2 linked regions of the Sus scrofa genome follow. The protein of the gene in region 1 binds, or shares a complex with, the protein of each later gene. Links are inferred from orthologs where the notes say so. Each region holds a gene or a part of one and is shown in the gene's direction. Other genes may lie near its edges.

The links.
Region 2: the proteins of KPNB1 (region 1) and PTHLH are in contact, whole or in part, in a crystal structure (PDB 1M5N), measured with the Homo sapiens proteins. The link is inferred for Sus scrofa from reciprocal best matches to the Homo sapiens genes KPNB1 and PTHLH. Residues at the interface, in NP_002256.2 of Homo sapiens: Val55, Tyr104, Pro106, Gln111, Glu152, Tyr156, Gln159, Asn196, Leu199, Asn200, Gln239, Glu274, Gln278, Glu281, Asp288, Ile295, Ser298, Glu299, Asp339, Asp340, Trp342, Val350, Met353, Glu395, Trp430, Arg434, Glu437, Asn469, Trp472; in NP_945316.1 of Homo sapiens: Tyr103, Thr105, Gln106, Glu107, Thr108, Asn109, Lys110, Val111, Glu112, Thr113, Tyr114, Lys120, Thr121, Pro122, Gly123, Lys124, Lys125, Lys126, Lys127, Lys129.

The regions. Positions count from the first base shown.
Region 1 is NC_010454.4:23,918,552-23,922,372, forward strand, and holds part of KPNB1 (importin subunit beta-1), read left to right. Parts: intron 1-80; coding exon 81-263; intron 264-3,268; coding exon 3,269-3,469; intron 3,470-3,821.
Region 2 is NC_010447.5:45,757,686-45,761,506, forward strand, and holds part of PTHLH (parathyroid hormone-related protein precursor), read left to right. Parts: intron 1-230; coding exon 231-653; coding exon of another isoform or gene 654-657; intron 658-3,821. UniProt on the Homo sapiens protein: Neuroendocrine peptide which is a critical regulator of cellular and organ growth, development, migration, differentiation and survival and of epithelial calcium ion transport.

The DNA.
Region 1 (3,821 bases):
GTTTTCCCCATTGTTTCGATGCTTTCTTCCATCGGTGAAATTCCTAAGAGACAGTCTTCTTTCACGTCTTCTCATAACAGCCCACTTTCCTTGTGGAACTGTCCAGAGTGCTGGCAAATCCAGGAAACAGTCAGGTTGCCAGAGTTGCAGCTGGTCTACAAATCAAGAACTCTTTGACGTCGAAAGATCCAGATATCAAGGCACAGTATCAGCAGAGGTGGCTTGCTATTGATGCTAATGCTCGACGGGAAGTCAAGAATTATGTAAGTAACTTTCATCTCCTTTTGGTCATGCTAGAGAAGGTCAGTTCTTTTTTTCATTTACGTGGGATAGAACTGACTGTAATAGATGTCTGCAATCTAAACTTAACTTGAAGATTTGATTTGTCTTCTTTCTCGAACTGTCTTTTCCCAAGTGATTCTTCCTTAGTTAACTATAACTAGTACCTAGCTCTTGTTGAACTGCTGCTGTGGGTAATTCTCATCGTTCCGTGACTCCACAGTGTGGAATCAGAAGGGGACGTGCATGGTCTCTCTTGGGCCTTTTAAGCCTGAAGAGTTTGTGAAATAGGATTGACACTAATCATGCTTTTATCTACTTAGCAAAGTATGAGAAACGTTTAGCTTTTTGTCAAAGTGTTTAAAGAGTGAGCCGATGGTTTTTGTGTGCAGTGGTTTTGTTTTGTTGTTTTGGGTTTTTTTTGTTTTTGTTTTTGGAGGAAATTTGAATGCCCCTTGTTCTTCTGCATTATGGAGTTCTTGTGGGAGTTCCTGCTGTGGCTCAGCAGGGTAAGAACCCGATTAGTATCCATGAGGGTGCAGGAAGGTTCCATCCCTGGCCTTGCTCGGTGGGTTAAGGATCCGGCATTGCCATAAGATGCGATATAGGTCGAAGATGCCACTCGGATCTGGCGTTGCTGTTGCTCTGGCTCCAATTTGATCAGCAGCTGTAGCTCCAATTTGACCCCTAGCCTGGGGACTTCCATATGCTGCAGGTGTGGTCCTTTAAAAAAAAAAAGAGTTCTTGGGACTTTCTTGTTGAATCAGAATTCTTGCTGCACAAAGAAGGATTCAGAATATATGGACAAATGCTTTTTAAAAAAAACAAGAAAACTTTGGTTCTTCAGTGGCCTGTCTTACATGGATAGTGCACAGAGGGTAGTAAGTCAGACACCTGCTCAGTCATCAATTGGTCCTTGGTATTGGAGGGGAAACCAGTCGGGGGATTCCTGCATGTGTACTTGAGCTGGTCATGCTTCTGCACATCATATTTGCTATTTCCTGCTTCTGGGTATCAGCAGTAGGTAAATTAGTGCCCCTTACGGCGGTAACTTCTCTTTCTAATTCTGTACCTCCTTCCCTCTCCAGTCTTGCATGGAGAGACTCATGACAGAAAACTAGGTTACAAAAGCCAACTTATTTTGAATCTTATTTGAAATATGTAGAGCTATTTCTATCCACATTGGGTCTACTTATGTAATAACATTTTAATCCTCCCCTCAGTAATTTGATATAAATGAAGTTTATTCACATCAGTCACTGGAACTCTTGATGCTTATTGTGCCCATTCGATTTCTCATTTTCCTCAGATTACACAATAGTAAATGAGAGAAGGCATGATGGGAGCTGTAATTGACTTTTGGGGGATGGGGCACATCACATCAGTTTTAACGCCCAAAATTTTTATTTTGAGTAGGAATTTGTATAGGTGTTCTTGAGCTTTCGTGCACGAAAAAAATAGCAATTATCCTGGGGTTTTTTCCCCTTTCATAGCACATCTGGTAATACATTCTTACTGCTGGTGGTTATTTCTTTTTTGAAATCTAGGTCTTAGACACAATTGAGAGCCAATTTCTTATTCCTCTTATTTCTGATAATTATATCATCAGCACCACTTCTAGTTTAAAAAAAACTTTCAGTACTCGGGAGTTAAATACTTGTAGTCTCTAAATCACCTTAAGTAATATTAATTAAGGGTCTTCTAGAAGCAATTCAAAGGAGAGGAGTTCCCACTGTTGCACAGTGGGTTAAGGATCTGACTGCAGTGGCTCAGGTTTCTGTGGAGGTTCAGGTTCGCTCCTTGGCCTGGGAACTTCCACGTGTTGCAGGTACAGCCAAAAACAAAAAAGGGAGAAAAGATAAAGATAGAATGGGATTCAGTATGTGTCCCATATCCGTTAGGAGATGGTGCAATAGAGAATGAAGGCACCCTGGACTTCTCATTTAGACCTGAATTAATACTTATTCAGCCCCTTTTTGTGCAGTTCATCTCTTTCCTGCCTCTTCCCCACCTCCAGGTGTCTCTGACATACAGTGGGGTTTTTTTTGTTTGTTTTTGTTTTTTGCTTTTTTGTGCTTTTTTAAAGGGCCACACCCGAGGCACATGGAAGTTCCCAGGCGACGGGTCGAATTGGAGCTATAGCCCCTGGCCTACACCACAGCCACACCAACACCAGATCCGAGCCATGTCGGCAGCCTGCCACAGCTCACGGCAGCACTCGATCCTTAACCCACTAAACAAGGCCAGGGATCAAACCTGTGTCCTCATGGATACTAGTCAGATTTGTTTCCTCTGAGCCATGACGGGAACTCCTGACTTAGAGTTTTTGTTAAAGTCTGGTCTAGCTTCGGTCCCCCTAAGAGAGCAAAACCTTCATTTAGAATCCATCAGAACTGTTACTGGGTAGGGCTGTTGGGAGTGAGCATGGGCAGGGATGATGATGTACCCTATAAGGGGGAAAGATGGGGAGTCCATCATTATTAGCTACAAAGCAGGATACTCAGTGACCTGACCCAGTCAGCAGAGCTGGCCTGAAAATCTGGCAGCTACTCTTTGTCCAGTGTTCATGCCAGGAACAGTTAACTGTTTGCCTTTTGAGTGATTCTTAGTGAGTTCATTGACTGAATTAGCTGATCATGGTAATGATTAACCTTGGGTCAGTTGTGGCTTCATTCTTTATCTGTACCTGTGCCTTTACTACTCTTCTGCCTTGTGTTGACCATAGAGGTGAGGTGTCTGGCTTTGGAGAATTCCATTTGGAAATAAGGGGGTGGTTGCTTTCATTTTCTAGCCTCTGGGGCAGCACAGATTGTGCTGCTGTTGGTACTGAGGCTGGCACTTTTCCTGACAGTAAGCCTATACTATGTATGCCTTTTCCTACTTGACTATAGAAAAATCAGGCTGATGTAAGAGGTGTGCCGGTAGGCAAAATGTGTTCCAGTAAGGAACAGTTGACATCTTTTGTCTTTTTGTGTGTGTCCATGCACAGGTTTTGCAGACTTTGGGCACAGAAACTTACCGGCCTAGTTCTGCCTCACAGTGTGTGGCAGGTATTGCTTGTGCAGAGATCCCAGTGAACCAGTGGCCAGAACTCATTCCTCAGCTGGTGGCCAATGTCACGAATCCCAACAGCACAGAACACATGAAAGAGTCGACATTGGAAGCTATTGGTTACATTTGCCAAGATATAGTAAGTGCTGTGTCTAACTTATCTGCTTCTGATTCCCTCTAGTTGTAACATGCGTGGTGTTAGGATTATGCTTTATCATCATGAACAAAAAAACCAAGCTATTGCAGTGTTTTAAGAGTAGAACTGCTTTATTTGTTAATTTAGACTTCTGTATTTGGACAGTTAGCCTATCCTTACATTGCTAATCATGCCCTAAAGCAGAGACTTGGGTCACAAACTCAAAATGGAAATCCCTGTTTGGAGAGGCATAAATATTTCCTCCTATCTTAGAGCATCCTTGACCTGATCCCTTTCTGAAGGTCCTCAGTGTACCATGGATGTTGTGTTACTTTTTCAGTTACTGTTTTACTGA
Region 2 (3,821 bases), on another chromosome or scaffold:
AGATCTAGCAAGGTGCACAACTGGGGCTCCAGGCCAAAGCCTCCTAATGGCCTGCTATTCCTTCCCCCTCTTGCCCCTTCCCTGCTCAGCCAGCTAGCACCTCTCCCTGCTTGTGCCCTGTATCTGACAACCAGACAGCTAATGGGCTCTCCTGGAGCCTGTCCTTCTGGGCTCTTCCAGCTGCTAAAATGTCATTGTTTCCTCCCCCTCCTGCTCTTTTCCCCTTAAAGCAAAAGAGCCGTGTCTGAACACCAGCTCCTCCATGACAAGGGGAAGTCCATCCAAGATTTACGGCGACGATTCTTCCTTCACCACCTGATCGCAGAAATCCACACAGCTGAAATCAGAGCTACCTCGGAGGTTTCCCCCAACTCCAAGCCTGCTCCCAACACCAAGAACCACCCTGTCCGATTTGGGTCTGACGATGAGGGCAGATACCTGACTCAGGAAACCAACAAGGTGGAGACGTACAAAGAGCAGCCACTGAAGACACCGGGCAAGAAAAAGAAAGGCAAACCTGGGAAACGCAAGGAGCAGGAAAAGAAGAAACGGCGAACTCGATCGGCCTGGCTGAACTGCAGCATGGTCGGGAGTGGGCTGGAAGTGGACCACGTGTCTGATGACTCGGAGACCTCACTGGAGCTCAATTCAAGGTAACAGGTTTCCGAGGCCCAGAGCCCCTCCTAGGTGCCCCCCAGGTGGGCTGTGGAACCTCCATTCTGTCTGGTTTGCACAAACCTGGAATTCCCTTCCTTCCTTCCTCTGTCAATCCCACAATTGAAACACTTAGAAAACCAAGACGGCTGAGAATATTGCCTGCCTTAAAGCTATATCTACCTGGACCCTCCTCAACACACACCGGGGTGTAATAAACCCCCACTTCTCTCTCCACCATCAAACCCCAAGGCCAGCCCTCTAGGACACTACTAACTCCTTTCATTTTTCACTCAAGCTTTAGAAGCTTGTGCACCTTCACCATTTGTTAGCGAAGTATGTTTATTACCCCACCTCACACCATGTCACACCAAAACTTTATGACGTTTTTTTCTTTCCTTTTTACTTCAAGAACACCGAAGGCTTTGATATGATCTACAAACATTACAGAAAAAAAAACTTACGTAAATTATTCTGAGCTGTTCACATATTTTATTTTATTAAATTTATTTAATTGAAAATTAAAATTAATTTTCAATTAAATAAATTAAAAAATGGAAACACACACTTTAAACATAGTTAGTTAAATTTAACTCAGGTTTCTACCAGTTCATGAAACCAAAATCATGATTTCTGAAAATTTTTTAAGTATAGACTTGGGAAGGTGTAAGTTTTTCCCATGTATCTGTTTTTCCACTGGCAAGTAGAAGTATTGTAGTAGGAATAACAAAACCGCATCTCTGTGGCTTACTTATCCTTAGCTCACAGATGCTTACATTCATAGGCTTTGGAACCAGAAACCTTAGGTTCAAGTCTTGAGTCTAAACTCCTCCAAGTTCACAACTTTGGGCAATTTACTCAGTCTCTTGAAGACTCACCTTTCTCTGTGTGAAATGAAGACATTACTTGTACCAACCTCATGGGGTTGGGTGAAGATTCAGTGAGCCCACGTGGGTTAGATGCTTGTCATAAAGTAAACACTCAGTAAATTGCAACCTATTGTTTTGGTGCTTTTAGATTTCATTCTGGTTGTACCATCCATCCACCCATCTATCTATCTAAGTATATATGTTTCTGTGAGGCAAAAAAAAGGGGGCCAAATATTAACCTCACTTCATAAAATAGAAAATGAAGGCATTCCACAGTTAAAGGAACTGAGCAGACCTGAGCACTGGGGTAGCAGTCCCCAGACCTACAATTTACTGCATTTCTTAACACTTAGGCCAGAGCCCTGCTAGCGGTGCTCTTTACCCCTGCATTTCCACTGATAGGATCTTTTTTGTCTTTCACTTCTCAGTACAGCTTTTCTGTGGGGGTTGAAAGAAAGAGGAAAACAGCACAAGAATGCCTCATATGCAGCTAGTGATCTCGTTATTTAAAGAGTCTCCTCTTACTTCTCCAATCCTCTCCTCTGACTGGTAGAGAGAGGATTATGGAGTGATATTTCAAGGGGGTTTTGAACCTATTTAACATCATATCCCTCTTTAAGTTAACAAAACCCATCATTAAATAATATATAAAATGATAATTTATGTTGGCTAAGTAGTATAGCTTCAGGAATCAATAGACAGTGGCACTAGAAAATCTTTAGCAGGGTAAATGACCTTGCAAATATCTAATGGATTTATAAGGGGTAACAAACCTTATAAATCTTAGCTTAATGCTCATATTCAGTGTATTGTAAGATATGATCCTAATCATACATATTTATAACTAATACAAGGGCTTTATCGCCAGAACCTTTTTTATCCTGTGTATATAGGATAAAAATATATGTATGTGTGTGTGTATATATATATATGTTACAAATAACATACATAAATATATGTTATTAAAACAGAAGTATAAATATTTTTAATGAATTCTATTCATTTAAAATTTGCAATGTTCTTAAGTGTCTGTAGAATTGAAAATCACCACTCCGTCAATTCTTGTCCCAAAGCTGTCTCTTAAGTTCAAGTAGATTTAGTAAAAATTAAGCAGTGCCCTAATCAAATCCAGACCTAGGACTGAAAGAAGTAGGTACTTCTGCTTGTTCTTTCTGCTCCCTGGTTCTGAGGGACATGCCTGGCAAGCACTGTTTGTTTGGCAGACGGATGTTGGCCTTCCCCCAGTGCATCCCAACAGAGGTGTAGGGAGGAGTGGGGAACTTCAGGAGTGTATTGAGGAAAACTTATGGGCCATGCAAATTTTGTACTCCAAAAAGAATCTTTTAGAATAACTTTTAAAATTTTATAAGAAACCAACCTTTTATTACTGTCCTTTCTTTAATCTCTTTGCATTATTATATGATGATCTGAGCGGTCGGATCATATGGCAAAAACGAATCTTGTTATAAAATATAATAGCAGTATCACTTAAAAGACGCTGACACTGTTCACTGTCCCATGAACCAAGCAGTAGGAAATACATAACTTTAAATTTTAGAAGTTACATTTTGGAATGTTTGATGTTGCAAATGAAATGTACAAATACAATAGGACTCATCTAATTGAGACCGTATAATTAGCTTTGGTAAACATTGATGTAGAAATAAAATAAAAGCTTTTCAGTACTCAAAAGAGCTAGGACTCTAAAGTGTTGTCATGCTCACATGTATAATGAACATATACATATACTTTTAGGTCATAGTATATGTTTTACCTGGCCATTCCACTATGCACCTTTATTAAAGGAAAATCAGAAGGAAGGATAACAAGCAAACTGGGCAGGGTGAAAAGATCTTTCCCTTGGTCTTTTCATGTCTTTCCTTTTTCTTTCCTTCTGAGGAAATAATTGTCCAAAGGGCTATTCAGTCCCCCTTTGCTTATGTTATTCTTAAACTTAATTCACTGAATACCATTTAGAGGGAGTTCCCATCGTGGCACAGTGGAAACAAATCCGACTAGGAACCATGAGGTTTTGGGTTTGATCCCTGTCCTCGCTCAGTGGGTTAAGGATCTGGTGTTGCCATGAGCTGTGGTGTAGGCCACAGACACATTTCAGATCCCACATTGCTATGGTTGTGGCTAACAACAGGTCCCATTAGACCCCTAGCCTGGGAACCTCCATATGCCGCAGATACGGCCCTCAAAAGACACACAAAAAAAGACTAAATACCACTTAGTGCAAAAACATTTTATAATTGGTACAATACACAAATTATTGAGTGTGACAATTACCTTTTG